4 linked regions of the Caenorhabditis elegans genome follow. The protein of the gene in region 3 purifies or fractionates together with the protein of the main gene of each other region. This does not show direct contact. Each region holds a gene or a part of one and is shown on either strand. Other genes may lie near its edges.

Region 1 (8,336 bases), on a different chromosome or scaffold from region 3:
TGTTGTTTACCAAAAGAAAATGGCACGGAGAAGGAGAGCGAGGAAAAAAAAACGAAAATGGACGAGGAAAGTGGGCACGTGGGGACATTGAGAATTAAGATTGAGTTTTCGATTTCTAGGCGAACAATTTAAAGCGTTTTCATCCCATGATAACATTATAAAACTGAAAACTTGGAGGAGTTGGGTATGGTCAAAAAATCAGTGGATTTTGATCAAATTCATGTTTTAGATCCGTTTTTTTTGCGGATTTCAGAAAAATAAAACATTTGGTAGAATTATTGTTATCTAAAAACTGCTACGTTCAGTGAAGACTGGCGGGAATCAGAAGAGAAGAGATGAACTCGGATAGTTTTTCGATTGATTTTGAACAGAGCCGTTTTACAAAAAAAATTTCAGTTTTAAAACAGTTTTATTGTTAGAAATATTTCTAGAAAGTTTATAGTAGCTTAATTCAAAGAATTCTTTTAATTTCAGATTAAAAATCATGATTTTTCAAGTTTTAATTTTTAATCGTCTGAAACACAGTTTCCAGGTGATGATAATTCAATTTGGAAGTTAAACATTTCAAATACGATTTCTGTCATTTTACGTGCCAACTATCAGATAAATGAAAAATAACGTGACTTTTCAGATATGACCCATGTCATTTTGCAGGGATTATAGTGTAATCGTTCTGTGTTTTTTGTATGATATTTGTGGGCTGAGTTTGAATTCCAGTTTTAGAAAATTGAGATATTTCAGGAGTTGAGATGTTTAGGCACTTCATAAAAAGAAATCACGACAGATAATCTTGTTTCAAGACAATGCCGAATGTTAAAAAGCTAAAATGAATGTAGTGAGATGTGGAAGAATAACCAACTATTGTTAACTTTCCGATATGTTTCCAGAGGTTTTTCTATTATATTTTGTCATTCTCCCACAATTGAAATCGTTTGAAAGCTGTTCTCAATTGATCCAATTCCAGTGTATTTTTTTTCAATGTTTCAGGCGCCATACTACAATGCAAACCAGTGGTGTGCGACAAGTCTCAAAATTTGCCGAGCTCAGCAAAATCGGCAAATTTGCCGTGCTTAACAAACTCCAAAAATTTGATATTTTTTGATGTTCCTTGGAGCAACAAAACTACTGAATTCTGTAATTTCGAAATTTGCCGAGCTCGGCAAATTTGCCGCACAACCCTGATGCATGCAGCATTCTTTTCTTTTTTTTCACATTCTCAGTAACGTTCCCCACATCACAATGAAGCAATGCACCTACGAAACAATTAAAGAATTTTTTCACTTGCAGGTAGCCCTCAAAAGTACGAAAAAAAAATTGAAACCAATGTTTTTCTCGCCAAATAATTTGTTTCATCGGGAAAATAATAACGAAAAAGTTTCACAATTAAATATTATTAGTCACATTTCCAAAATAAATCATCATCAATTGTTTGCGATAACAAAAAAAACTTCGGAATTCTTAACACCTAGAAGCAGCCGTCTGAAAAGTACAAAAGCTATTATATTTATGACAAAAATGACATTTAAAATTGATTCTATATTTTCAGAAGCTGTAAGTTTTTTCCAATTCAAAAACATATAGGATACAAATGATTTCTACTTCAAAGAATTCCAGAACTTCAAACATGGCAGTTTTTGATTTCATCATTGGTTTCGGCTTCATGTTAATTGCTCTTTTTCTCATTTTCCTATACCTCAACAAGGATGGGCACATTTCAATAGCTATCAAAAAAATATTAACGAATTCAAGACAAAAGGCAAAAGATTTGAAGGATGGTTCAACATCCGACCCATCAAAAACGACACCAGCCGCACCTGCATGCTCTCCAGTATCAAATGAGGAAATAACAATACCCTCAGATGTTCAATCGGTGAATAATACTTTATCAGAAATTTCATTGTCAGAAGCTGAAGTTCAAGTTGATGAAGAGAATCCAAATATTGTGAAAATCCATGTAATTTGATGACTGTTCGCATTTCTAGTCATCATTTTGAAATTTAATAAACCAATGCGACATCGTAGTTTACTTCACCGTTGTCAATTTTTGTAGATGTACTGAAAATGTGTTTGAAATTTGTCCAATTGCAAAAATAATAATTAAAAGCTGACAATAATCATCTATTGTTCACAATGACGAAGAAATTCTAAATGCTTCTTACATAGAAGCCGACTGATAAATATAGAACTATAATATTTATGACATGATAGCATCCAAAATTGTTTCTATATTATAAAAAGCTGTAAGTTTTTTGTTCAATTTGATGGGATGGCAGCAAAAAAGTTACAATTCGACGTTAAACCATCACAACCCAGATTGACCTCGCAATGAAATATTTGACCAACTGTAGATTAAAAAACATATACCGTATTATTTCTATTAGTCTTGCACCAACAATGCTTAATTCCGAGATTTTTAGAAGATAATTTAAGTTATTTTCGTAGCATTAAGCCATATTGGTTATCATGATATCTGACTCAAATTTGGTGTCTTGGCTCTATTCTCGTGCAAACACCAAAGTCGCGTTAAAATATTTCATTAACCTAGGGAACTGCCACAAAAGTTGCACACTTTATTATCCACGACAATTGATTTCTTGGCTTTTGTGAATAAAAAATAATGTTTTTCGTAAATGAAAAATTTCAAATGATGGATTTTCCGGAAATTAATAAAAAATTATCAATTTTTCAAAAATTAAAATTTCATATTATCGACTTTTCAAAAAAAAAAAATTAAAACTTCACATTATCGATTTGTCAAAAATTGAAAATGGCAGATTACCGATCATTCAAAATTTATCGATTTTTACAGGAAGATGGAAAGTATGTAACTCTGAAATCTAATGTCGTGGAAAATGGTTTCTACTCGGGAGTCTTATAGATTTTTTCTCATTAATTTATTGATTTTTGTATTGTCATGATCTCAATTTGAAAAAAAGAAAGAAAATGTAATAATTATCGATATATTTTTTTAAATAAAACTGTTTTTGAAATTAAATCTTCACGTGGCCTTTTCGAATTTTGTTATTCTCAACAATAATCGATAATCCGTGAGATTGATAAAATCGATAAATTTCAATTATTTCTCACTTTTATACTCGTCAATACCACATTTATTACTCGCCGCTTATTCACATTACTCCAATGAACTGCAGACAATCAAAGGTGAGGTGCACGAGAAATGCGCCAGCATTTGCTTGCGCAATTCACGATACCGTATATTTTTCAGAAAAATTCTCACATCTGGGACAACGTCTGTACCGCCGGCACTCGTCGTAATCCGTATTACGTCTGCTGTGAGTTTGAGAGTCGGGAAAAACTGATAGTTTTTGTTGTTTCTGTTCAAAAATCGATAATTTCTCAAAAATAAATATTTTGAAAATTTAGAAAATATCGATTTTTCCGTAAAATCTATATTTTACACAAAAATTTTCACCTACGTGTAATTATCGATTTTTGTTCCAGAAAAGAGTTAAAATTAAAATTTTCGAATTATTGATTTTTTTGTTGGTAAAAATAGCATACAGGGTGGGCCAAAAGTATGGTAACACATGAAGCGCTCTTTTACATGAGCTTTTCGCGCGACTGCCACGTCATACGTACATTCTTCTATCGAATACTGATAGCTGAATAAATTTCCTTCAATTTGACTCAAAATTTGTAATGTTTCCCAATAAGGTGCGATCTTTATCACCTCGACAATTTGGCGAACCCTTTCGAAAAAACGGTAATTTGGCACGCGGCACTTCCCACACAAACACACCTCCCACGCACGCCAATAATTTTCAGATGTATGATTTTTATGTTAAATTGAAAGTTAAAGAAGTGAAGAAGCGTTTTTAATTGTTTTTGTAGCATATAAAAATGTTCTGTGTCGACACTGGCGCCTAGCAAGAACCTTTGTATATTTCATGAATTCAACTTTGCGAAATTTACTCAGTTTTTTTGGTTTCGCAAGGCGTAACGACCCACAAAATCATCCGAGCTCAATTTTCTAAAAAAATTCTGGAAAGTCAGGTCAAAACGTCTCGAAAAATACTAAAATAAATTTATCTGAATACTGCTACTCGCCGCTCACATCCATCTTTCTGGCGACTATGCCATTCAAGACTTAACCTACTGCCGCAGTCCATGACAGAAATACCGTGATAGAAAATATTTTGATTTTTGTTTTTAAAGAATCTCTAGACCAAGGGCATTCTTTGAACTATAAAAACTTGTAAGACACTTTATGGATTCCTCAAGAAAAATGTAGAAATCCCGCAGAATGCCGACTTGCGTGCCATAAAGATCGTGATCTCAAAAGTTCTGAAGGCCTGCAGCAATGCGGATGGATATATTTTGAAAATTCAAAACGTTCATCTGGTCAGTATTTTATGGAGAACAAAACTTGTACAAATTGATGTAATAACTCTCTCCACTAGTAAAGTTATAGAGCTGCAAACGTGTTACCATACTTTTGGCCCACCCTGTAATTCCTAAAAATCAATACTTCGAAAATATTTTTGATTTTAAGTAAAAAGCGATATTTTTTCACGTTCTTTTTTTTGATTATCGATTTTATGCAGACGGCACCACCGGCTCCACCACCTCATCACTGTCAATTTTGGAATTTTCACGTGAACAAATCACCGTAGTGTCGCCACGTGTCAAATGTCCCCTCAAGGTGAGAATATTGGAAAAAAATCATTTCAAAATTTGATCGCTGTACAAAATGCCATTTTTAACAACTATCTATCGTCAGATTCCGACCGGAAATGTATTGATTTTTTGATTTTTTGGACTAAAAATCAATAAATCAATATATATTTTTATTTTCAGCAAAAAATTGTGGAAAAACCGAAGAAAAGGAATGTATATGTCACGAACTGGGATCGTGCAGCGGCGGAGCAACCAAAGGCACTTGCCACGTGGATTTATCAGCCATTTGATAAGAGAAAGGTGGGTCGAGAATTGCGCCAAGGCTCTATCATTTTGTTGGCTTGTTGGACATCCTATCAGAAAGACATACCTGAAATTTCAGTTCGATAAGACTATTTTGAGCAGTGTTACCAGGCCTTGAAGTTTCTTATAAGATTAATCGACCGCGTCGCAGGTTGTTTGCTTTGACTAGTTGTAACTTTGCTCCCAGTGGATTGATTTGAAATTTTTTGTGTGGCTAGCTGTGTATTATTACGTACATTCAATTCAAAAAATTTTCAGTACAACAACCGCACGGCATCCGACGCCTTCGACGCCTACCAACACCGCCTGAAACTGAAAAAACTGCCCGAGACAAAGCAAAAAGTCACAAAAACCACCAAAAGACATGTGACTATCAATGAAGCGGCGACTCAAGTCATTCAGGATGTGTGGTGAGTTTGCACTAGAAACGCGCCAAGGCACGAGTTTTGCGTTAAGGCGTTAACAGTAGTATACATACATACATCAGAAATCAATACAGAGAAATCAATACACAGCTCTACGAGCATTTTGAACAATTTTGAACAGTTACGTAGATTTTGAACAGTTACGTAGATTTGAAGTATTGAGAAAAACCGCGACGCAGACTAAAGTTTTGAACCACTGTAACTTTGCTCGCACTGTTCGAAGACTTTCAAAATTTTTTGTGAACGCTCCCAATGTAATTGTTAATATGATGACGTCATCATTGCTCCTTGGCGTATTTTTCGTGCCATGACGCAATTCTTGATCATTAAATTTGAAGCCCTAATTTTCCTAGTTTCAGCCACCTCCAACCGAAATCCTACCAAAAAATTCGCATATCAAATTGTCGAAATGATGAGGTGAAAATCGATAGTTTCTCTGCTAACCGAGTTCCAAAAGACGATGATATTGACGACCTGAACGTGAATGTTCCAGTTGAAGATGATGATGACGTGGAACTCGATGACGTCATCCTTGCTCAAAATCCGGCGTTTTACGGCACAATTGAAGCGGAAAAGTGTGCAGAACGAGTTGCCGCACATCTATCGATGGCCTGTGAAAACATGGAACGTTTGCAATTTGTGACGGAAGCCGTGTATCCACAGAGCGCCGCTCATTTGGTGAGTGATTGCCTAATATGGAAAATAAATATTGATTTTTTTGCAGAAGAAGCTTCAAGAAATCGATGATGACGTCAAGGATTTCAATTGTCAGATGAGACAGCGTCGTGTCAAAGCTTCGAATCCAGGAGTACGTACTTTTAAGTTTCTGTGTGAAATTTCATGGCTGGACCGCGACGCGACACGAAACTCATGAAATTTTTGAAACTTTAGCGTTTTAATTCAGAACATCAAATTAGATGAAAAAAATGAACCACAGAAAATTTCAGAGCTGTAGCCACATTTTGAGCAAAGTTAAGGTGGTTTGAAAGTCCTAGCGACACACGACGCATGTCAAAACTTGCAGTTACCCTAACTTTGCTCTTAGTAGACACAGAGCTCTGAAATTTTTTGAGCGTGCTCCCCATGCAATAGAAAACTTGTTTGCGCAATTTTGGTGCCTTGCAAACACCATAACCGTGTAAAAATATTTTATTATTCCAGGGAACAGTCACAAAAGTTGCACACTTCATTATCCACGGCAATTGATTTTCCTCGATTTTTGCGAATAAAGAATTTATTGATTGGATTTCCAATTTTTTAAACCTTTTTTGTAGTCACCTAACAACCCGGATTTTCAAGTAGATTTTTAACAATTTTCAGGAAAGCGAATAACTGGAAATAATGCCTAAGTGCCTAAGACTAAGCCTAAAAATGAGCCTAAGGCTAAACCAAAAAAAATCCTAAGCCTAAGCCCTGTGACATAAGCCGGCAAAGTGAAGCAAAACGGCTTGTTTTTTGCGCTGTTATGAGCTTCATTCTTATTTGTTAGACCTTGTGTGTCCCCAAGCCAAGCTATTTCGTCGACATGATGATAAAAATTGGTTTTTGATTTAAACGAATTTTTTGACGCCATACTTATTTATTCGAGAAAAAATAAGCATATATAAAATAGGAAATTCAACAGAGAGTCAAACAAATTAAACGCTTTTTCAAACTGAACTTTCAGGAAAAATAGCAATACGTTTTATCTGAAAAGGGTTGTTTGCTATTATATTGTTTTGTTGCAGAGAACTTATTAATAATATTTATTTTTAAAAAAACCATGTTTTTAAAATTGAAACCAGATACCAAAATAAAAAAAAAGAGAAATATAAGCATAATGAAAAGTTAGGAGAATTTCAGCAGTTTCTAGAAGGATTTGTGGAAGTCCATGTGCTGACTGAACCGACGTTTTGGTCGACTTGAATCCCCACTTGCTGGCCTGAAGTCTCCGGCGATTCCTCAGAATTGTTTGATTTATTATCGTGTTTTTTGAAGCTCACGAAACCGAGAAAAGTTAGACAAGCTATGAGTAAAGGGCCGCCAACTAGAATGAGAACGGTAATGATCACCACTAACAGAAATATATCTGAGGCGTCCATTTTTTGGAGAATTCGAAGAAGTGACGAAACAACAAGACTGCCTGCTCTTTTGTACTTTTTTGAAAGTAGTTGATATTGACAAAATGAAATTAGTACGCGTTGTAGTAAACATCTCTGTTGATTCACTGAACGTTGTGATGTTGAAAATGAATCTGTAAATGTCATATATGGAAAGAGTTGTGTTAAAAAAAATTTAAAAAGAAACCATTTTTCATTTTGAAGCCGCCTATCTACCAAGAGGAAAATCAAAAAACATGCAGGTAAAGCAAATATAGAGACAAAAGTGTGCGCCCAGTTTTCGGACGGTGGTTTTGCGACACGCGGAACTGCGATTTATGCTCTTTTCGGTATTAATATTCACGTGCAGCTGGTAAGAAAATAAGATTGTCCCGGTTCTTTGCAGATCCTAAGTTTCTAGGTTTATGCGACTGCAACAGAAGTGGACAGATAAAAATCATCTCAGTACGCCGAAGTAGGTTGCCTTGGATTCAGACATTTCTATACCTGAATGAAATTTTAAAATGTCTTTTAAAACATTGTCAAGTCTTCCCTGACTACTTTACTTCTTGCTATCTTTGCGGTCAATTTTGCTGTGAATTCTCATAAAATTGAAAGTTTATTGAACCGAATTTTTTAAATCCCATCACAAATAATACAATTAAAAACACAATAATTCAATTATAGTCGGTACTCAGCTTGGTAAGCCTCAACAGTGTATATAGTATTCCTTAATCAGGAGAACGCCATGACCATTGTGAAGATGAATGTTACAATGAAAATTATTATAGCGAGAATAAAAACCACATGCAAATATGTAGCAGAATCCATTTCTTCCTGGTGAACTTTTGTTTTCTTGAAGTTCTTTTGTATGAATTCTCTGTTGAGGAGT
Region 2 (10,034 bases), on a different chromosome or scaffold from region 3:
TGACTGTAAGATACAAGTTGTCAGAATTTGAAAAATGTGGTGTGAATAGAAGTTGTCACGTGGCATTGGCAGCTGACATTTTAGATTATTAAAAGAAACTTAAAAATAGAAATAAAACATTATTGTCATTAATTTTGAAAAAAAATGTGAACAAACCCTTTAATTTTTATCTCAACAAGTAATCAATTTCTTTGCCTAAACTGCATTTTTGTGTGAAAATATTATGTTGCAGAAGACAACGGTACCCAAAAACGCTAATGTTTGCAAGGATGTCGATGAGCCAATGCTCCAAGAAAAAAGTAATATTTATAAAAAAAATTAATCATGACAGGTACAGACAGTCAGAAAACGCAAGTCCAGATAGGTTTTTTTTGAAATTTGTTTCAAGATTTGAACTATAAACTTTCAAATTTATATGTTCCCCCAATCTTAAACAACTTTCAACAGATTAATTTAAAAAAAAACCCCCCTTTTCAGAACATCAAAATCATACAAGTAAAACGAATTGGTGGTGATTACCCATATGGTCCAAAACTGTCATCAATCTCTGAAAACCAGATATGCCGCCCCACAACAAGCCGCTCCTCCTCACCTCATTTTTCTTCCATCGCTTTTTCAACTTCCCGACAACTCAACTTTCCCAAGGTCCGTTTGTTGGTGTGTTGCATTTCTTTTTATCAATCGAGGGCTTTCCGTGCACTATATGTTGTAATACTTTGTTGAAGACCCCCTGTGTACGTTGGGTACACCAGTTGGGGAATGAGATAGACAGTGATTGATTACTTGATGCTTTGTGGTTTGTCGGGCGGGGATTGAGTCAGTAGATCCAAAGAGGAGAAAACAAATATTGTTGCTCGGGTACATGAAATTAGCAACATAGTTTCATGGTGTATCGACATGAATTGAATTTTTTTTTTAAACTTGCTAACTGAAATTTTCTAAAAATGCTTTTGCCTTTAGTTTTGTAATTGAAAAAAAACTGATATGTATTGTTAAAACTCGCAAGGGTCACCGTTGAGCAAATTTATAAGCTGGTGATTTTTCTGTCTAGAAATGCAATAAATCTTTTATTTTGAAAATAAAAATAAATAGAAAATATTATGGTTTTTTTAAGGCGAGACCTATGTACCCAAATTTGTATGTACCTAAATTTGATTTTTTTTTTCAAACCAAAATATAAACTGCAATTAAATGAAATTGATCAGTGTAAATTTTATTAATTAGTACATATAGTACAGTATAGTGTATAATATAATATGCTATAAGATAGTATAGTATAAGTTAAATGTGCTTTAAGTTTCAAATCAAATAGATTTCAAAATTGTATTCACCTAAAGTCTAACCTCTGTTTTGAAATATTTCAAAAGTGAAAATTTTTCCACTGTGAAATTCAGTGGCAATGATTCTTTAGTAATGCAAATTTGTTAGAAACAGATATACAGTTTTTTTTTATGAAAAAAATATTTACTCGTTTTCAGGTCTTTTTGGAATTGCTATGCTGTATAGAAACACTCCTAAATTTTCAAGTAGAAATTGTAAAAGAAATTTCAAATTAACTGTTCCACGTTGCAACTAGAGCTCTCTAGAAAAAATCCTTTACACTATAAATTGGAAATAACTCTAAAATACTTTTCAGAAATCTTCGAAATCTCTGAACCAAGTTCATATCAACCTGGCAAAGCGAAAACAGTGGAAACGAAACAAGGCGTGGTGTACTCATTGTGAGTCATACTGGAAGATGAAGATTAATTCGAAACAGTTGAAGTCTAGATACCCGTGCTGTTGAATTATTTTGAAATATTTTTTTATTTTAAATAAATGCCTATTTTCCGCGTGAAATTATAATTTTTACTGCAAAACGACAACCTGTGCTCATTTCTTGGATTTATACTGAAAATTTGAGTTTCAGGTTGTGCTTGAACTTTGTAGATTTTATCAACATTTAAACATCCAAACTTCTGGAAAGCCCAGTTGGTCAGTTTTATTGGCGTTTTAATTACTGTAAATTGATACTTGATAGATGCGCAGACAATTCAACTATAAAAATATTTCGAAGACATTTCTCACAAGTTTCTTACAAGTACACCAATTTGTAAATGTAGTTGTCTTCAGGAAACCCCATCAAATCCAGGATACACATATAATTTGCTCTCCGAGCACTGACCTTTTCTCCCGATAACTATACAACTTGCTCCTCCCCCTTGCAAACTCTCAGAAGTTGCCCGCCGCGGTGCAAAAAAAACAACAACAACCTTCGATATAATATCAATTCTCTCCTCTTCTCGCACATTTTATAATCCGCCGAAACTCGGAAACACACAGTTTTTATGAGTAGTGGGGGGATTTGGGACTTTAGGTCACATAACAGCTGCTCTTTTATACACATTCCGATGCTCTTTTTTCGAAGGAACTGACTTTTTTTTGGCGAATGAAATTTGTATCAAAACATTTGATATAGTGAAGATACTAAACATTTTTTGAAGTTTCAAAGTTCCGTCTTCAAAACAAAAAACAAAGCAAAAAAAAAGTTCAGTTGGTTTTGGGTGTGCACCTAGTCTCAACGCCATATGACAGAATGTAGCGTCTGCTGCTGCTGGCAGTTACGGCTCTGGCACGCCAGATGCCTACGCCTGTTGTGTTTCATCTCATACCTCTGTACTCGAGGTTTTACCCCCCTCCTACCCCCACTGTTTATTACTTTGCTCGACATGTGCTGTTCTCAAGTTATTTGGCATCCCTTAGCATAACCCACCTCCTCACGAACTTTTTTTTTACTTTTTTTTTCCCCATTTAGTTAACTTTATTGTTTAGTTTTTTCAAAAGTTGTTATCTGATTTTTCATGTTTTTCACTTCATTCCTTTATTCCGTTTAAAAATTCTAGCTTGTGAAATTTTCATGATTCCACCTAACACCTCAAAACGTATACCAACTCGTTGAATTCTTAATTTTCATATTTAACTCCAAATTGAAAGAGTTTTCTCACTTCCAGAAATTGCTAAAAATCTCAGTTCCATATTGATTTTACGCGATTTCTAGAATTAGAGCAACTTTCTGAATACAACTTTCATAACTTTCGTTATCCTTTTTTTAGAGGCTTAAACCTATTTTAACGTTATAATGTAACTGTTTAGTTTGTAAATAATGTCTACGTAAATTTATAATTTGTATTTTTTGTTGTCTGGTTTTGAAATATCAAACCCCAAATGTTAGATTTGAGAAAGCCCGTTTAATTTTGAATTTTTCTATTGTGAGTACTTTTTCAGTTCTTTAATTTTTCATTTGAATCCCCAAAAAACTCAATTACTGGGCTTGAATTCATCTAGAATCTCCACATTTTTTCGAAAACACCGTAATTTTCTGGTAAAGTTGACCCAATTTCGATAACTTTTTTTCAGATGAAAATGAAAATTGAGCCAAAAAAAAACCCTACTACTCCCGCCCTTTCTATATTGCTCTGAAACCGAGAACATTCTGGAAATCTGGTTAATTTTACAGTCCCAAATTTAATTTTTTTACTTCAAAAACCATGTTATTTTTAATATGCACAATTTCAAGTCCACCATCTCTTTTTTTTCAGAAATCATCACAAAATGAAGTCCCGGATTTTTTTTATAACATTACTGACAATAGTTGCCGCTCAAGAATCCGCAGATCAGTTATGCAGTAGTTTCGATGCCCAGCAGAGCTGTGGACAGTGTATCAAAGCACATGCAGAGTGTGCATGGTGTATTGATCCCGTATGTTTACTTTAAAGTGCAGGGGTTTTGAGAGGGGGTACTAAAAAGTTGGACGTCTTAGATTTCTGACCTTTTTGTAAAATTTGATATCTAGCTAGTTACTTTGAGTTAGTTCAAAAGATTTTCCAACTAAAGAATTATTTAAAATCGTTTTCTATTTGTATAGTTCATTCCTTTTAACTGCAAATTTTCAAAAATTTTAAAACTGGGTTTAAATTTAAATTTAAATTTTATTTTTATTAATTTTAAATTTTAATTTTAAAGCGCCACTCTACATGCACCTGAAAAATTGTAGAATATCACATTACAAATGTTATCTTAGTTTGTAATTATTTGGAAAAAACCGAAGAATTAAATTATAGGTGCTTTATGATGCTTTATGATGCTTACAATAATCGTGCAGTTACAAATTCAGAAAAATTATAAGTGCATATGCACGTGGTGTCAGGCTGTCCTATTATGGTTTGATCTACAAAACAAGCGGGAATTTTTTGTCAAAACAACTGTTACGTCAGCAAGCTCTTAGCCATGCGAAATCAGTTGAGAAGTCTGCGTCTTTTCTCTTGCATTTTTTGTAGATCTATGTAGATCAAACCAAAATGGGACACTCTGACACCACGTGCATATGTGAATACTTTTGTTTCGCAAAAAAACTTTCAGCACTCTTCCCTTACAAACCGATGCCAGCTGAAATCCAAGTTTACCAATGAGACATGCACGCCGCACTTGGTGTATTCTCCACAAACCGCTCAGGTCAAAATTCAACAAGTAAGTGTTACAGTGGTATAGATCCTCGCTGTTTAACCTTTAAAATGTTACAATTTTTGAAAGTAAAACAGCGAGGAGGCATACCCATTGGAGCCTAATTTTCCAACTTTTTCTCCAGAACTTACCACTTGAAACCAAACAGCATGATGGTAAAACCATTGTTCGACAACAGCCACAAGCGGTTTCCGTCCGTCTAATGCCATGTAAGACTTGCGTTTTATTTTTTAAATACGTAACATTTTCGATAATTTGCAACTTTGTAGCTCACTCCGCCACCGTTTCTTTCAAGTACCTGCATCAAACTGACCCAAGCAGACGGAGCACCGAACCCGAGACTATGGAAATTCAGACTTCTGATGTTAAAGATACTCCACTGCAATTGAAATTTTTCATTGTCTGTGATGGGTAGGTGAAGATTTCGAAAAACAATTTTTATAGGAATCATTTCAGAGAGTTGAAGGAGACCAAGTCGTGCCGTGTGCAGAATAATCAAATCGTTGAATTTAAGATTGAAGTGAGTCTTTTTTTGTTGAAAATTTTGTTTGATCTCCAAAACTGGCAAAAAAAAGTTGTGGATTGCTCGTCACTGATATGGAATCTGCCTCGATTTTTCGAAAACATAAATTTCTCCTAAAAATTGAATTTTTTATCAAAATCTGAAGGCAGTGACCTAGGCAGGTGCCTCTTTTTGAATTATTGGTCGTATGTTTTCAATTTTGATGGTAAACTTGTGAAAAAATGGGGACAGCGGTTTTTTGACATGCTAAATCCGAATATAAGGTTCTATGGTAATCATTTAGTTTTCCAATATTACCAAATTTGAGAGGGGTTACCATAGCTGCAAGGCAAATTAAATTTAACAAAGGGTCGCCCATCACTTGGTTTTTCAAATTTTAATTTTAAAAAGCCCCGCACGTGTTTTCAGCTTGACCATTCGGTGTTATTTGTGCAAACACCGTCACGCGCAAATGTAGACATTTTTGCACGTGCGGTTGTGAAATTCCTCTTGGCGAATTCAAATATTTTTCCCGCCTTTTTTGAAAATTTTCGAGGCGTTGGTCTAGCTGAATAAACGTGTCCTGTGAAACACAATAAAAAAGGGCATACCTTATAGACACACCCCTAGTAACCAAATTTGCTATTCAGGTACGCTAGCAGAGACCAAAATCTGCTACTGAAAAAAGCAAAAAAGTCGCTAACCAACAAGACAAGTAAGCAAAAAGTACAGAGAGCTGATCGACACTAACCATGGTTCTAATAATTTTTTTTCTGACCAAAAGTGCTACGCCTAGACAAGCTACAAATTTTAAATATTGATCCACGTTTTATTTCCGAAATTTCAAAATTTTCAGGTTCTCGTCAACTCGTGTTCCAGTACCGGCGATATTACACTATCAGTAGGTATTCTTAGACAACGCACAATTGCTGGCCTCTACGTCACCACGATTTGCGGGTGTGAATGCGAAAAGCATCCGGTAAGATGATCCCAGCCACTTAGCACTTTTTACGAAATTTGAAACTTTTCTCTTTTGTTTCCTAATCACTGGCAATCATCAAAAAAGAATAATATTTTTTTTCGCAGGAAATCAATTCTCGATTGTGCCATCAAAACGGACATCTCGTCTGCGGACAATGTGTTTGTGATCAGTCACGTGGTGGGGATAAATGTGAATGTCCGCTTGCTTCGCATGGAGTTTCCAAGGCTTCTGAATTGGAGGACAAGTGCAGATTGTAAGATTTTTGAAATTACAGAGCGTGAGAAACTAAAGTTCTCAATAATACAGTCAACATTAGATGTTTTTAGCAAAGACTAGTCTGCCAAATTTGACTTTTTTTTGAATTAGGGAAATACATAAAGTTGCTGAGAATTACACTGACAATATTTACACTAAATGCAATAACCATATTGAGAGAGCACGTGGTGTCAGAGTGTCTCATTTCGGTTTGATTTACGTAGATCTACAAAAAAATACGGGAATTGAGACGCAGAGTTCTCAACTGATTTCGAATGGCTAAGATCGTGTTGACGTCACCTGTTTGGGCAACAAATTCTTGCATTTTTTGTAGATCGAACCGTAATGGTACAGATCAGAAACTGATCAAACTGTAATCCTTTGAACTCTACTTGCAAATAAATGTTTCCTGGCAAAACAATGTCAAGCTGGGTGATTTGTATCGTTGAACTCGGGGCAGCAAAAATGACGAGTTCTGACCATATTTTGATAACCGAACTACCAAAGTTAGGTTGTTGTATTATATACCAATGACGACCTGTTTGATCCTTTGTGCTAAGGTAGCCTTGCTTAGCCTTATAGTTTCGGAGTTCTGGAACTCTATATCGGGGACAAAAACCTTCAGAAGTAGAGTCCTCTCAAAACCAATCGAGTATTTTTTCAGCAATTCATCTTCCCCAGTATGCAGTGCATCTGGAAAATGCAAGTGTGGACAATGCCAATGCAACAAACCTACTGTAAGTGGTGTTACCCTCATAAAAATAACTATACAAAATTTTGTGTTGTTTTGAAATTTAATATCTTGTTATACATCATAGGTGACCGGCAAGTTTTGTCAATGCGACAACGACAGCTGCCCGTTGGCGGTCAATGGAAAAGTGTGCTCTGGAAACGGAGTGTGCGACTGCGGAGTTTGCAAGTAAGTGGTCGTAGTAATAATAACATTTGAGTGAACAAAAAATAGAACAATGAAATTCGTATATGTTACATCACAATCAGCTTTACAAATTCGTACTTTTTGCCAGATGCGAGATGGGATGGGAACGTGATGATTGCTCGTGCTCGACGGCATCCAACAATTGTGTGGACAATGGGGTAGGTGGTTGGGGGTCTGAAAATGTGAAGGCCAGGGTGCATGCATGGAAACTAGTTTATTAGTATGTCACCTTATTTGTCTTTAAAAGAATAAACTAGCTTGATATTGCCTGTGAATTTGAGTTTTCTGGAAAAGTGCAAATTGATACTGCATGTTGTTCAAAAGCTTGGAAAAACATCTCAAAAATATTTCTAATTAATCATCCAGCAGTGTATAAATTGTAATTCATTAATAGATAAGAAAATGGCTGCAAGTCTAACAATATATATTTTGTATTGTGAAAACTTTTTGACCTTAACATTCTTAAATTTATTTTTTCTAGGCGGTGTTTTTTTTCTGGGATACTTTGCATATTCAAAATTCTATAACACAGGTCCTCTTTGCATTGCATGAATTCACTTTAAACCTCATTCTTTTTACATTTTGAAGGAACTGTGCTCGAATAATGGGCGGTGTGAATGCAATCGTTGTGTTTGTAATATGGGGAAAACTGGGGCCTTCTGTGGATCTGACGAAAAGGTGAACTTTGTAGAGCTAGATAACGTCTTCTAATTGTACGGCTCAAAATCACAATGAATTTAACATTTTCAGACACCAGCCCCAGAGGAGAAGGATAAGCCAGAATCGGTGCCGGAGGAGCCAGAAGCCACTGAAAAACCAGACGACATGCCGTCTGACAGTGATCTTGAGAAGGAACTGGATGAGTCATCGAGTGCGAAGGAAGAGCAAACTTCCTCCAGTGGAGTTGTGTCGCGAGTTTGTGTATTGTTAACCTTTTTTCTTCTTGTTCTGAATTTTTAAGTAAAGCAATGAGCTCGATTTTCGATTTCTAGATTGCTCTTTCATCCTCTCTCGGTTTTCGAAAGTTGAACCCCACTTCTTTACACATGTTTCTAATGATGCATGTGTATTATAGGTACTTAATTTAATTTGGAAATTGCTGTAAAAAAGTGTACCGCTTTTTAAATGTGATTTTCAGGTTTAAGAGAAACCTTTTTTAGCCTGAAAAGTTAAAATAATTTAGTTTTACTTTCAAAATGCGTGCCTATAATACACAAGTTTTTTTTACCTTATATCTACATTTCTCAATATGGTTTATTTCTAAACAGTCAACTTGTCATACTTGGTAAAATCATCCGTTAATTTATTCAGAGTATCAAATTGTACTTGATATGCTTTTGGATAAAAGTTTTATTTTCTCTCAGTTTGAATTCAAAACATATGGAAAAGGGGGGTGTTTTTATTTTTATTTTTGTAGGTGTTAGAGGTGAAGCTTGCAATTTGTAAATTGCAAAAAAAATTCTGGAACTTCAAACCAATAAAAAAATAAATCTTCGTTTTTCAGTAAATTTAAACTCTGAGATTTAGGCACTATAAAAATTTCAGAAGCAAAACTCAACTCTGAATATCTGAAAATTGAGCCCGAAATATTTTCAGATACAGATAGATAGGTTTTTTCAGAAACGGATATTTTCATATTTTTCCTCGTATTTTTCTCCTTTTTGGCGATCTTCAAACATACTCTGCTAAAATATTATATTATGAAATTTATTGGAAGAAAAAATAATACATTTATCAGACCAGTATTTGACAATGTGACGGAAAGCATTAGAATTAATATAATATGAATTATTATTTCGAGATGCTCAAAATATTACACCAGAATTCAAATATTACTCCTGGTCCCTTACGCACAATAAAACTCGTCTCCAGCAAACCGTGCCTGGGACGTGCCAACGTGTTGCTGATAACGTTTGTACCGAACTTGGTCAGCGATTGACATTGTGCAGTGGAATGCCACACGGCAGACGTAGACGGAGACTGAGAGGAATGTTAGTGAGAGGCACCAGCCGACAATGCACAATTGGAACGTGGCTGGAAATAAAGTTTACTTGAATACTAGAAAAATTTACCATGTGAAATGGAACTGCTTTGCATTCTTCTTTTTTATCAAATAAAGTGTTGCCTTTGCACTTCATTTAAAAAATTTAGGTTATGGTGCATCGATAAGTCCAGTGTTTGAGCTCGATTGAAAATAATTGAAATTTAGTGATTTACTTGTGCTCCTAAACTCCTAAACGTTGACAGTGTATTTCTGCTTGCTTTGGGTTTACGAAAAACTGGCCAATTGACATGATACTTCTTATTTATTTTATAATGATTTAGTGGGAAATTACTTCTTGATTTTTTGATATTTTTATGTGCGAATCAAAATTTAGATTTAAGTACAGTTTCCGATCAAGTTTTCAACAATCACTTACCATCTACCAAATCCAGCTTGAAATGTGTAGAAACAAGTTGTGCACCCATTTTTGTGCACTGCAGGAAAAACATGAAGAGCTCACTTTCCGGCTTGATAAGCGCATAGGTAAAAGCCGTCAAGAAGACGGCACTGACAAATGTTTCAAGAGTCTGAAAACGGAAATTGGTTGCAGAATTGCTTTTAAAATACATTGACGTATGAATGTTCGTAACCCCTCGTGGGAACGATTTGAGCCGCTTTCACGTGGCGTCAGGCTGTCCCATTACGAATTAATCTACAAAACATGCGGGAAATTTTCCCCAAAAATGAGAAGTTTGCGTCTACATTCCAGAAATTCTCGTAGATCTACGTAGATCAAACCGAAATGGGATAGCCTGACACCACGTGTGATTTATTATTAATCCACGAAATAAAATTTTGAGCCACTAAAGACAAG
Region 3 (5,636 bases):
ATGGATGCACCAATCAACGATCAGAACACACACTTGGCTAATATGGGACGAATGATTGAGGATCAGGAGTCGAAAATGCGTCTGACGATCAATGAGATATACTTTGGAAAGACGAAGAAGGTAAGCAAAATGCAAATTTATTATATGAAAAAAGTTTCATTTTTAAAAAGTACAATTTTCGAAAAAAATATTTTCCAGGTGATGTCGGATCTCCGTTCAACAGAGAAGCAGAGTGAGCTCGAGAAGCAAGATGAGATCGTTCGCGAGTTGAACAACGCCATGGCTAACCGCGGAAACTGAGTGATCTATCTACATTTGCAGCTCAAAATCTCTCATTTTAATGCTTTATTTGCGAGTTTTGTATATTTATCTACCATAATACCAGCTTGTTTCTTCTTTTAAAACCTTTTTTCATTGCCTTTTCTCGAGTGTAAACTTTTTTTCTAGAATTATTAAAATCTCTTTTCCCACAATTTCTCCTCGCTCCAAAGTGTATGTGCTATGGCTTTTCCACAATTTATTACCAAAATGCCTTGATGTTCCTTCCGAGAAGAGCTTGAGCTTTTCCTGGACCATTTTCGTTCTAGGTGCTCGTTCGACTGTTTTGTATTTTGCAATGTAAATTATCCTCTTTAAGATTACTTTTCATTTCAATTATATTTTCGATGAAAGTATTTTATTCCTTAAATTTAAAAAAAAAGAGAGGGTCTTCATCACCACTTTGAGAAATCTCCAAGGCCTGCTCTTGCAAATTTAGTTTTCTTTGCGGCCTCCAAGGGTACATCTTCCATTTTTCCTTGTCGTTTATTCACAGCTGCGGCCGACTTCATGTACTTGCCGACTCCAGTTCCAACTGCTTCTGGTTTTGTTGCAGTTTCTTTAGCTTTTTTATTTGCTAATGAAGCTGCGTCCTTAGAAGCTGAAAATAGATATCATTAGTTTTAAAATTAGTAATAGAATTAAGAAACTTTTCTTCAAAATCTCTGCTCTCTCAGCTTGAACTTCTTTCTCAGCTTCTTCAAATGGATCCACAAATACTTCAGCTCTCATAATAACAACTGAAACCATCGGAACATCAGTTCCCTCTTCAGTTTCCAACTTTTCAATCGTCGTTAGTGTATCCTGTCCTCCAACAAGTCTCCCAAAAATTGTGTGCTTTCTGTCCAAATACTTGCACGGCCGGAATGTAATGAAGAATTGTGATCCGTTGGTGTTAGAGCCCTTATTAGCCATCGAGAGCACACCTCGAGCATCATGGGAGAAACCGGAGATGAATTCATCTGAGAATGGCTTATCCCAAATTGATTCTCCACCATGTCCTGTACCAGTTGGGTCGCCTCCTTGCAGCTGAAATTTTTAATTATTTTTTGTTATAACTTTAACTATTTTTATAATAAATTTACCATAAAGTTTTTAATTAACCGATGAAATTTGGTGTTATTATAATATCCATTCGAACAATGTGTGATGAAGTTTTCACAGGCCTTCGGAACTTTCGGCGCGAATAATTCCAGATTCAATGGCCCAAAATTTGTAACAAGCCGCACAAAAGCATTTTTCTTAACTCGGCTGTACCGAACTGTATCATTATCCAAAACAGCTGCTTTATTGCTTGTAACTGGAGCCATTACAGTGGATGTGAATCCAGCTGCGACTTTTCCTTGACTATAATGTGCTGCATTGATCTCATCGGCAGTTTCATCAGTTTCTGTGGAGCTCTTCTTTGGGACATATTCCTTATCCAATTGATCAAGAACTGATTTGCAAGCATTATTCATTCGTCGAATGTAGAATTTTGGATCTTTCATTGCATCTTTTTCTTTTTTAATCTCTTCTGACGTCTTTAAATCAAGCTTCACGTGTAGAAACTGCTCCATATTGAATTTTTCCAAATGATTTGGGTCTTGAAGATCAATTATATCAGCTCTTGTGAACGGAACATCGGTTAGAAGATCCTTGAGATGATTTCTTTTTAAATTCAATTCTTGCACGGCTTCATGAGAATAGACGTTTCCGGAAGTAGCGATGGCCAGAATATGACTGTGGTCCGTGAATGTTCTGAATGTAACTGGGCATCGGAACTTTCCATCTTCTCCTTTATCGAATTTCAAGTGGATTAGATCCTTGGCAACCAACGGTTTTCCTGTACACGGGTTTTTGCCATGCTTCTTCAAGTAAGGAACGATAGCACTGAAAATTTTTTAATAAAAAGTAAAAAAAATAAACAGAAATTTACGTTAAATCGAAAATTTCTCCTGATCTTGCGCAAACTGGGTCTTCAAACGGTAGAAGTGACAGCGAGCAATGGTTGATGGGTAACCTTTTGAACTGTGCTCTTTGGAGTCTTGTTCCAGTATCTGAAATATGAAATTAAATCTTGTTTTTATTTATAACTCGTGTTTAAATAAAAACCATCTTTATGTCCTCCAATCGATTTCCATTCAGAAGTGGTCAGATAGAGTTTATCTTTCTGATGTTGCTTTTTTCCCATTTTATCTGAAAATAATACAAATAAATACTAGTTACATTTATGTAGTTATTAAGCTTAATTAAAATGCCGATTGTTAAAAATTGCGAAAACAAATCGGCTCGTAAATCTACACGAAAACCTAGGCCGGCGGCCGCCAGCCACCTCGGGTCTCGCCACGATCACATGTCGATTTACGCGCTCAATTTCATTGACTATTGACGTGGATTATCTTGTTTCTCAATGTTTTTCCTCCATTTAAATTGTTTTTCAGAGATAAATTTTTAATTTTATAGGTAATATTAGCAAAAGAGAGGATTTGCAATAAGATGGCAGACTTTGACACTGTAAGTTTCATTTGCAGCTTATTATTGAAGTTTTTTTTTTTTAACTAAAAAGCGAAATTTCAGAATCCAACTTCTCTGTACAGTATCAAAGGAATTGTGATTCTTGATCAGGATGGAAACCGTGTTCTTGCCAAGGTTTGTCGTTTATTTCACAATTACCATACAAAAAACTCGAAAAAATATCGATTTTCAGTACTACGACCGTACAACCTTTGGAACTGTCAAGGAGCAAAAAGCTTTCGAGAAAAGTCTCTTCTCGAAAACTTCCCGCAACACTTCAGGTTTGGCTGATTTTTTTTTGATGAAAACAATAAAAATTAAACATTTTAAGCCGATATCCTGCTTCTCGACGGAGTGACTTGCTTGTACCGCTCGAACGTTGATCTGTACTTCTACGTGCTCGGATCGACCCGCGAGAATGAGCTTTTCCTCGACGCAACTCTCACCTGTCTCTACGATGCTGTGTCTGTCGTTCTTCGCAAAAACGTCGAGAAGAAGGCTCTCATCGATTCCATGGACACTATCATGCTGATTATTGACGAAATCTGTGATGAAGGGTTATTTTTTTTTATTTCTAAAAGTATTCAACTGATTTAAAATAATTATTACAGAATTATCATGGAAACTGACGCCCAGGCTGTCGTCCAAAGAACCGCTCTCAAATCCGACGAAGTCTCATTCTCCGATCAATCCGTATCACAAATCGGCTTCTCGTTCATGAAATCTGCCAACGAGCAGTTCAAATGGTCTCTTCTCAAGTAAATGGAATTCTATAAATTATTTAATTTAAAATGTGATATTTATAATCTCTCCAATACTCTTTTGTGAATTAAAATGAATAAACCTCGGATAAAATGGTGTTTTCATTGTAAAAATTGTTGATTTTGTGCTGTTTTTGTTGAGTTTTTGGTTCGTTTTCTTAACGCCTAACTATATTTTCAGTTTAAAGCTTAACATTTCCTGCATGAATCTAAATATCTATTTTTCAATTTTAATTTCAGAAAATGCCACGGCCAAAAATTTTGAAACGAGCAACTGTCCAGCCCAGTGCCGCCGTTCCTGTGAAAAAATCGACTCCAGAAAAAGAAGGATCCAGACAGAAAAAGACGAATGGAAAAGAGAATGCTTCTAGAAATTTGCAATCAAATTTAGAAGAAGATTTGGAACAACTGGGCTTCGAGTATGTATCTATTATCCAGATGAATTCTTGAGCAAAACCGGGTCTCGACACGGCAATTTTTGTTGAAAACAAAACGGGGGTGCGTCTATAAGGAGTGCTGTATTATCACAATATGTGTTCTTAAAGGCGCACAGATCTATTCAGGCGGGTCTCTGCGCGGAAAACAGTATCGTAGTATTTTCTTTTTCTTTAAATTTTTCCGGTTTTTTAATAGAATAATAGAAGGAGAACTAAATACAAAAAACGGAGTAATTTCTTGAAAAATGAAAGTAAAAAACTACCATAAAATTTAAAAGTTTTTCGCGCGCCGAGACTCATCTGAATGATTCGGTGCGCCTTTAATAATGGTAGGCCAAAATTTCGTTGCGGAATTTCCATCGATTTTTCATTGTTTTTTGTTAAAATTTTTTTTAAATAAACAAAAAACTAGGATAATTAAAAGCGCATGAATTTTAACGAACAATCGATAAAAATTCCACAGTTTGAAACTACAGTACTCTTTAAAGGCGCACACCCGTTTGTAATTCAAAAAAAATTGTCGTGCCGAGACCGGGAATTTTGGCGCAAAAATTAGAAAATCTTCCATCTAGCTAAAAATAAGTACATTTTCGAAGCAAATCAATCATTTTTCCAGGGATGAAACTGTATCAATGGCTCAATCAGCAATCGAAAATTACTTTATGCAAGGAAAATCGGCGTCAGAACGAATGAATAATGCGAAATCCCGTCGTGGAAGACGTGCTGGAAATGGAAATACTGAAGAAATTGAGGAAGACGATGAGATCAGTAATGCTATCACTGATTTCACAAAATGTGATCTCCCTGGACTTCGAAATTATATTACCAAAAAAGATAACACGGAATTCGAAAAACGATTGGAGCATCTCGCGGATAATGATTTCGGAAAATGGAAGCTTTACCTAGCAGCTGGATTTAATATTCTTTTGCACGGTGTCGGTTCGAAGCGTGATGTTCTCACAGAATTTGAGAATGAGCTATCCGATTATACATATATGAGAGTGGATGCACGGAAAGATGGGCTCAATGTAAAAGTTCTTCTTGGAGCTATCAATGAGAATATGAAGCTGAATTGTAATGTGAAGAGAGGCCAATCTACGATTAGTTGGGCTCGATCTATTCGCAGAAAAATGAATAGCCAACAGTTGATTCTTATCATTGATAATATTGAAGCTCCTGATTGGAGGTGAGGGGAATTCGCTTTTATTTATGTATAAAAAATTAATTTTAATTAATTTCAGAAGTGATCAAGAAGCATTTTGCGAACTTCTTGAGAATCGGGATTCGGTGAAATTGATTGCTACAGTTGATCACATTTACTCGACGTTCATCTGGAATTCGGTGGGTATCTAAAATTTTAATTTTCGAAAAACAGAAAATTATATTTTTTTGTTATTTAAAATTATTTTTTTCTGTAGAAATTTATATATTTTAGTATGTTTTTTGTTCATAAATATAATAAAAATTTGACAGAGAGAAAAATAAGAGAAAATAAGAAAATCTTAAAAAAATCGAATTAATATTTAATCTGAAAACGGCAAAAAATCGAAAAAAAAACAATTTTGAAAAACAGTCAAATTTATGGCAAAAAAATTTTAAAAAAATCGCTACAGTTGATGGCATT
Region 4 (6,851 bases), on a different chromosome or scaffold from region 3:
AATTTTACTTCTTCACTTCTGTGTTTTTTTTGAATTTACATAAAGCGTTTTTTTTTTTGGAACAACACTATTCTATTGATACACTTGAGAAATCCTAATGTTTTGAAGTTTTGGCCACGAGTTTAATGCAGGTGGAATTGTTAATTTTTGGCAAAGATAGAATCACGAGGAAATTTGTCATCCCTAAATAATTTTAAAACTTATAGTTAGCAGGTGCAATCAAATGTAGTGTGTTTTCAATAAACCACTGACTCATTTCATTTATTTCAATTTAATTTAATTCAGGACATCCCTCTGATTCCTGAAGATTTCATGGTGATGTGGCCGGTGGAATCATCCGAGAAAACGATCAAAGATGAGAATAAATTCGAAACGGTAAACAAATTACTTGGAATCCACTCCTTCCTGTTCACTTATGATTCTTGTTTCCAAGATTTCATCGAATCAGATTGCAGACCACAATATTGGCCAAGACTTCAAGACAGTCGTTGAATCAACATGAGACTGAAAATGAGGAAGTGTTTTCTGATGACAATCTGAAAATGGAGCGGGTGGCGAAAGCAGGAATCCGGCCAAAACTTCAACTCAGCAGCCGGCTTTGGGGGCGTTGAAGGTGCAGAAATGAGATAGTTGATACAATTTTTCTTTCCTCCAGTCCTTGTACTTTTGGTGAAATAAAGCTGTTTTGTTAGAGCTGTGATACAAAGTTTCCATCATACAAACAGTCTATTTTCTGTCAACCGAGTATAGCTTAAAAAATTAAAGCGTTTCAACCACGTCCCGATTATTTAAATTTATAATCGAGCAGTTACTAATAAAGGAAATTCAAGTCTGGTTACACCTTTTTTTGTTAAATTTTTTTTTGAAATGTCAGAAGAGATGCTCAACAGTGGGATACTTTTTTATAATTGCAAGACGTGCCTAATCCTTTATATAAGGTTTTGCATTGGACTTCCTTAAACTTAACACTTGTTACATCTTGGAGTTTTCTAAAATATTGTCAAGGTTATTTTGTCATAAAACTATTTTAGTGCACAATTATTCCATTGATTAAAATGCATGTTCAGTAGGTTGATGTGTGCCCAAATTTATTTCTACGCCTTTAAATGAACCGTGAAATAAACCTTTTAATTTGTAATAAAATTTTGCTAATCAGTTTTGATCAAATAAAATTTAGTCCAGTTTTAAGCTCTAGTATGTATACCTGGCCATTCACAAATTCAGAATTTGGTACAACTATCACAAGCGCAGTATTAAAACTGGTTTTGTCTAAAACACTGTACATAAAGTGACATTCAGATGTGTATGTGCGTGATTTCCTGCAAAAATTGTATACCTGAATGTAACGCAAGCAGACCAGCTAACACTTTGCATAGCGCATCGTTTCCTGATCGAATAATAATGATTCACACCTATTATCTATTATCCGCGGTTAGTTGGTGAAAGGAGATGAGGGGATTCTTGGCAAATTCTCGTTTCCGACCAATTCGCAGTCTTTATCGTCTTCCACAATTTCTTAGTATTATTCGTTTTTTGCCCTGCGTGTCGGCCCACCATTCATTTGCCCTTCCACAATATCTTTCGTCACACTTTTCTGTCCAAGCGTGAACCTTTGCTATTCAAGTGCACTCAAGCGAATTGCCAGCATTACAGAAAGTGTATAAAATGATTATAAAGACGGGTGTGAAAACTGTGTATTCGCAAGATGAAAAAGTGTGGACTTTTGGTTAAAGCTAGTGGAAATTTTTATTTATGTTTTAATCGTTCAATGACTCATTTTTCTTATCAAGGGGTTTTTGCAAGATTATATAAGTTTATGATTTTTTTTCATTAAAGTTCATTTTTTAAATTGCGCAAACATGATTGATACGTGAAAAAATGAAAAGATATATTTTTTAATTTTGCTTTACAAAATTGTATTTCGGGGGGCGGATAGCTCAGTCGGTAGTGGTGACCGCTAGAAATCTGGAGGTCATAAGTTCAAGTCCGGCCTCACCCCCTAGGTTCACCCAGCCACTATTGGGCTTAATGGTATTATGCCTATCATAATTTGTAGTCCACAAAAAAATCTTTGTTTGCCAAACTTCATTAGCTCGAATGCTCTTGCGACCACTGTTAAAACATTAATTCGTCCAAAGTAGTTTAAGAGTTATTCTATATGCCGGCGGTATTATTTTTCCACTAAGTTTCCCAAATATTCTATAGTTGAGAACCGAAGTATTATAAAATTACAAATAACTGTTGCGTTATTTCTGACATTGTTTCTGTAGTTTTTGAGATTTTTTGCCCACAAACTCCATCATTCATTTAGGTCTCCATTCTTACAAACAACATTTTGAAGTCGATTTGAAAAGATAGTCACATGAACACTGATTTTGTAAAGCGTCACAAATATTTCCCTTCTCAAACACACCTAGTACACACCATTAAAAGTTCCACATTAGTTCTTGTTCTCGTAACTAGTTTTCTTTTGTGAAATTCCAGAGGAATCAAATTTTATGACAAGTTGAAAAATTAGGGCGGACGACGACGAGGTGAACACTAAATCAAAGACCATTGGAATCTTCAATGTTCTCCTGGTCAGTCATCGTAGAACATTTCGCTTCCTTATTTCAGTTTATTTTTCCTTGTGGTCTCTGCCATAGTCCCGTTTTGATTGAAAGTCTAGGTCCTTCAACAATGCATATCATACCCGATTCTCTTTTTTCATGCTTAGACAGATCTCTAAGCTTACGTAACAGGTTCCTTCCATTCGTATCGTTTTGCCCCATTTGACGATTTTTCTTTTTCACAGCTACTTTCTTGCCGCATTTGCATTAAATGCTAAACTAAGATTGATTCAAATATTAGATATGAAGATGTTTCGATGATGGAACTATTTGAATTCAGTGACTTCTGTGACTTTTTCTATACTGTTCTTGTAACTTTCTGTAAATTTTTACATAAACGGTATCTTACAGATTTGTCATGATTACAAACTGCCTGATATTACTGGCAATTTTGTTTGGATTTGCATCGACTCAGTATCTGAACTTAAACCTTCATAGACATCAAAGTTGTGCATGGAGAAAAAGTAATTATTAAACTATCGTTGTCACTTTTTTAATACTTTACGTGTTACAGGTTCTCACTGGAACCGCAAAATCGAGTTCCAGGGTGGCCACTCGGATAGTGGAGCGCTACTCAAGTCAACTGAACAGAAAGGGTGCTATGCAATTAGTGTGAGTTAGCCCCCAAGAGTGTTTTATTTTGATTTTTGAAAAACAATAACAATGCTTGATGATTGACGTTATTACAATAATAATAATAATTCATTTTCTTTAGGGAAAAGTGAAAATTCATGAGGATGTGAGCGACGAGTTGTTGATCTACTTGTCCGTGTCGACCACTGGTGACACTCAAAGACCACCGGAAGTGTGCAGGGATGCCAATCCGGACACTGGTTGTGGAGGTGTTGGATCATGGTAATGAGTTATTGACAGAAATATTAGGGAAATCATCAAGATTCTAGAGCTAGAAAAAACATTAGGAAATGAAAAAAAAGCCTTTTGAGCAGTTAATGATAGATGAACAGCTGTGAAGTACCTAAAAGTTTTAAGTTAGAGGTCACTCTTAAAACAAAAAGTATAACTATAACAATTTCATACATAAGTGTTTAACCTGCAAAATAAATTAAAAAAAAAGAACTGAAGAGAGTGGGATTCGAACCCACGCCCCCGAAGGGACTGGTGCCTTAAACCAGCGCCTTAGACCGCTCGGCCATCTCTCCACGTACTACGCTATCATAATTTGTCGTTATGTTATAACTTCAAACAACAAGATTTAGTTGTATTTCGATGATTACGAAATTTAAATTTTCGAACTTGAAAATTTGTTGTTTTGTTGTTTCCAAAAAATGACGTAAACACTGCTGTTTCAGTCTCTACTGCCGGCCATGTGATTCTTTGGACTCTCTCACGAAAATTCTCGGAGCTCAACTTGTTGTGAACGGCAAACCAGCAGGATGTGAGCCATTAAAAGTGAGCAACATCGTTAAAAAAAATTTACGATGCAGTCAATAACACTATTTTTAGAAAGGAGAATATGATAATGTTGAACTCCGTTTCTGCCTTCCGAAATTAGCTGCATTGTTGGAATGGCAGGGAATTTCAGAAGACGCGTTAGATCACATTTTAGCTGCTACTACTCAGGTTTGACAAAATGAAAATAATTATTGAAAGAAAAAGTGTGTTTCAGGAAGGAAATGGTCCACCAAAGCTTAGTCTATTTGTGACCGTTTATTTGTTCGACAAGGATATTAAACCTCTTCTAGTGTAAGTTCTGAAAATTAAATAGGTTTTAGCCAGATTTACAGTTTCATATACCATCTAACAACCATTCACTATATTCGAGACATATATGTCACATACATTACAGCTATATGAAAAATAACACTATTTTTCACGAGTAGAAAATTTTTAAACAAATAGAAAAATGAAATAATTTCAGCTCTCAACGAAAACTAGAATCTCGCATCCGTGAACTTCGCAAACTTGGCGCTGATGAGCCAGTTGACTCTCAAACTTATTGGAATCTGCCATTCAATCAAATTATCAAAAAGCAGTCAGTTTTCGTTGGATGTCACAAACTTTACGGAACCATTAGCTTGAGCGACATTCAAGCCAAGAAGAAATAAGAAAATATATTTGGATGAACAACGATGATAACTTCATGTTTATTCATTTCGTTTATGCGGGTTCATTTTTTGTGAATTATGAAATAAACACAATAAAAATTATGAATTAGATAAGCAAATTGATCTTGACATTTAATAAATAACAGTCAATCTTTATGGTGATACTGTGCTCAAAGACTCGTTGTGTAAAAAACAACAGTTTTGTCTGGTATCCTTTTGAGTATGTTTTTTTACATTTCTTCAATATGCATTTTATTCAATACAACCTCAATATTTTGCTAGCCTCAAAATGTTTCTGGGATTTTGTTCAAAGTATTCTGTATACCCTTTACTTCTAGAATTTTTATTCTTGTGTATACAACAGTACACGAATTCTACAGAAAAATCTTGCAAAGTTACTAATAGTAAGGAAAACTGGAACTATATATGTTGTTGGTTAGAGATCATAAAGTGATATTTATGTAACACATCTGTAAAACTTTATTGCATTTGTTCTCACTACTAGTTGAAGGACATAAGGCTTTTGATTCATTATTTTCCTTTTTTTTTACTTTTTTCCCCTTTCCTTTTCTTTTAATCTCTTCATCTTTTCAGAATCTCATAACCTTCATGACCTCGAAACGCCATCCGACAATCATTTCACATTGAGGTAAAAGTAACACGAAAAAGAAAGAAAAAACGAGAAAAGTGGTTTTGATGGCTGTCAGACTTTTATTACACATTTGTACAATTCATATCTATATTCCCCTTTCACCCCCACCGTCACTGTAAACTATTCTAAAATCCAGCTGAAAAGGGGTGTGAAAGAAGGGCACGTCCTCGTCGCTTACTTCATAAGCCATGACACCTTCATTTGCGCATCGGTTTCAGTCGCAGATGTTGGTCGTTTTCTTAGCTTCATCGTGTCTTTTCGTTTCCATTTCCAACGCGTTGGAAAACGTTGAGTTGGGAAAAGATCTGAGTGTAACTCTTGAACTCATCAAACATCAACCATGCAAAAGTAGGTTTACGAGATTTTAAACCAAAGCTTATTTGGTTTTCAGGTGGTAAATGGACAAAGAAGTTAGAATTCGAGTCTGGAAATGATAGGAGAGGCCCGAAACTTGAACCACAAGCCGATAAGCCAAACTGTTTTACTATCGGAGGCCAAGTAGAAGTTCTAGAGGTAAAATATTGTGCTTTTTGTTTTGTTAATATTCCGTGTCTTGAAGGAGGACTAACGGTTTGGATGATTTTGAACGTTCAAACCCAAAATGAGCTCAAATAAACGAGTTTCGTAAGGAAACTTCTGATAAATTTTTCAAAATTTTTTTATGGCGGTTCAAAATTTTGAAAAAAAAATACACTGATTTTAGCTAAAATCTCGATTTTTGGCAACTTTTCCGTGTCGCAGCGGGGGACGTAGTTGACTTTTTTGGAATCATCGCCCTTTATTGCATATTTTGGTAGTTTATCTCATCCAATTTCATTGATTAAGGCACATTTAAAGCCGACAGGTAACCAATTTTGATGATTTTTGGTTACCTATCGGGTTTAAATCAATGAAATGTGATGATAAAAAATTACCAAAAGATGCAGGAGGATAATTCCAAAAAAGACAACTTCGGACCGCTGCGACACGGAAAAGTGGCCGAAAATTGAGATTTTAGCGAAAATCAGTGTATTTTTTTTCAAAATTTATTCATTCCAGCCCAATTCGGATTTATACGTTCAAAATCGTCCGAACCGTTAGTCCGCCTTTAAGACCGTGTTTTTAAGAACATCAACACAATCTGTATCTTTAAATGTAGTCTGTACAATTTAAAAATCACTAAATTATACCTTACTGAATTATTATTGGGCAAATTGAATTTTTTTATGCCAACGTGACAACGTGACAACATTTTAAATCAATATCATTCAAAACTTAATGTTTTTTTTCAGTATTTGTGTAGCGTATCAAAAGTTTAAAAATTATCTTACCCTGAGAAATAAAGAATTCATCACAACTTCTTATTACTCTCTAAGTATATACTTTGAATGAACAATAAAGCTACATAAAAAAATAAATTGAAACTCTCTATTTCAGGACTTTGGCGGAGATTTCTCCATTTATCTTGAGCTGAAGAACACTGCCAAAAAAAATACTGTCCCAGAGAAATGTGTTCGACAACCTGAAAACGGATGTGGAGGATTT

Evidence for each region.
Region 1: the proteins of copz-1 (region 3) and C30G7.3 fractionate together in Caenorhabditis elegans (co-fractionation; one large-scale study listed by BioGRID). This does not show direct contact.
Region 2: the proteins of copz-1 (region 3) and C05D9.3 fractionate together in Caenorhabditis elegans (co-fractionation; one large-scale study listed by BioGRID). This does not show direct contact.
Region 4: the proteins of copz-1 (region 3) and gmap-2 fractionate together in Caenorhabditis elegans (co-fractionation; one large-scale study listed by BioGRID). This does not show direct contact.

The regions. Positions count from the first base shown.
Region 1 is NC_003283.11:14,940,411-14,948,746, reverse strand, and holds C30G7.3 (MADF domain-containing protein), read left to right. Parts: upstream 1-3,042; 5' UTR 3,043-3,141; coding exon 3,142-3,162; intron 3,163-3,226; coding exon 3,227-3,293; intron 3,294-4,565; coding exon 4,566-4,663; intron 4,664-4,818; coding exon 4,819-4,938; intron 4,939-5,199; coding exon 5,200-5,351; intron 5,352-5,725; coding exon 5,726-6,044; intron 6,045-6,090; coding exon 6,091-6,174; intron 6,175-6,527; coding exon 6,528-6,572; 3' UTR 6,573-6,617; downstream 6,618-8,336. Other genes in the region: C30G7.4 (Matrix-remodeling-associated protein 7), read left to right, coding at 1,625-1,963.
Region 2 is NC_003284.9:1,108,325-1,118,358, forward strand, and holds C05D9.3 (Integrin beta epidermal growth factor-like domain-containing protein), read left to right. Parts: upstream 1-3,591; coding exon 3,592-3,738; intron 3,739-4,398; coding exon 4,399-4,506; intron 4,507-4,624; coding exon 4,625-4,709; intron 4,710-4,769; coding exon 4,770-4,911; intron 4,912-4,956; coding exon 4,957-5,020; intron 5,021-5,858; coding exon 5,859-5,981; intron 5,982-6,088; coding exon 6,089-6,237; intron 6,238-6,903; coding exon 6,904-6,976; intron 6,977-7,057; coding exon 7,058-7,158; intron 7,159-7,264; coding exon 7,265-7,334; intron 7,335-7,764; coding exon 7,765-7,854; intron 7,855-7,926; coding exon 7,927-8,136; 3' UTR 8,137-8,527; downstream 8,528-10,034. Other genes in the region: C05D9.4 (uncharacterized protein), read left to right, coding at 233-299, 478-645, 1,637-1,786; C05D9.7 (uncharacterized protein), read right to left, coding at 9,023-9,210, 9,597-9,747.
Region 3 is NC_003280.10:10,870,116-10,875,751, forward strand, and holds copz-1 (putative coatomer subunit zeta), read left to right. Parts: upstream 1-2,763; 5' UTR 2,764-2,796; coding exon 2,797-2,814; intron 2,815-2,877; coding exon 2,878-2,949; intron 2,950-3,007; coding exon 3,008-3,095; intron 3,096-3,145; coding exon 3,146-3,371; intron 3,372-3,425; coding exon 3,426-3,576; 3' UTR 3,577-3,681; downstream 3,682-5,636. Other genes in the region: cap-2 (F-actin-capping protein subunit beta), read left to right, coding at 1-120, 199-300; cyn-4 (Peptidyl-prolyl cis-trans isomerase 4), read right to left, coding at 714-919, 969-1,347, 1,404-2,190, 2,237-2,357, 2,413-2,491; orc-2 (Origin recognition complex subunit 2), read left to right, coding at 3,819-3,994, 4,629-5,198, 5,254-5,353.
Region 4 is NC_003284.9:12,939,376-12,946,226, reverse strand, and holds gmap-2 (GM2 Activator Protein family member), read left to right. Parts: upstream 1-2,960; 5' UTR 2,961-2,967; coding exon 2,968-3,073; intron 3,074-3,123; coding exon 3,124-3,221; intron 3,222-3,324; coding exon 3,325-3,464; intron 3,465-3,687; exon of another isoform or gene 3,688-3,769; intron 3,770-3,919; coding exon 3,920-4,019; intron 4,020-4,073; coding exon 4,074-4,190; intron 4,191-4,236; coding exon 4,237-4,313; intron 4,314-4,488; coding exon 4,489-4,675; 3' UTR 4,676-4,785; downstream 4,786-6,851. Other genes in the region: nssp-88 (Neuropeptide-Like Protein), read left to right, coding at 286-375, 456-611; gmap-3 (GM2 Activator Protein family member), read left to right, coding at 5,516-5,675, 5,719-5,840, 6,744-6,851.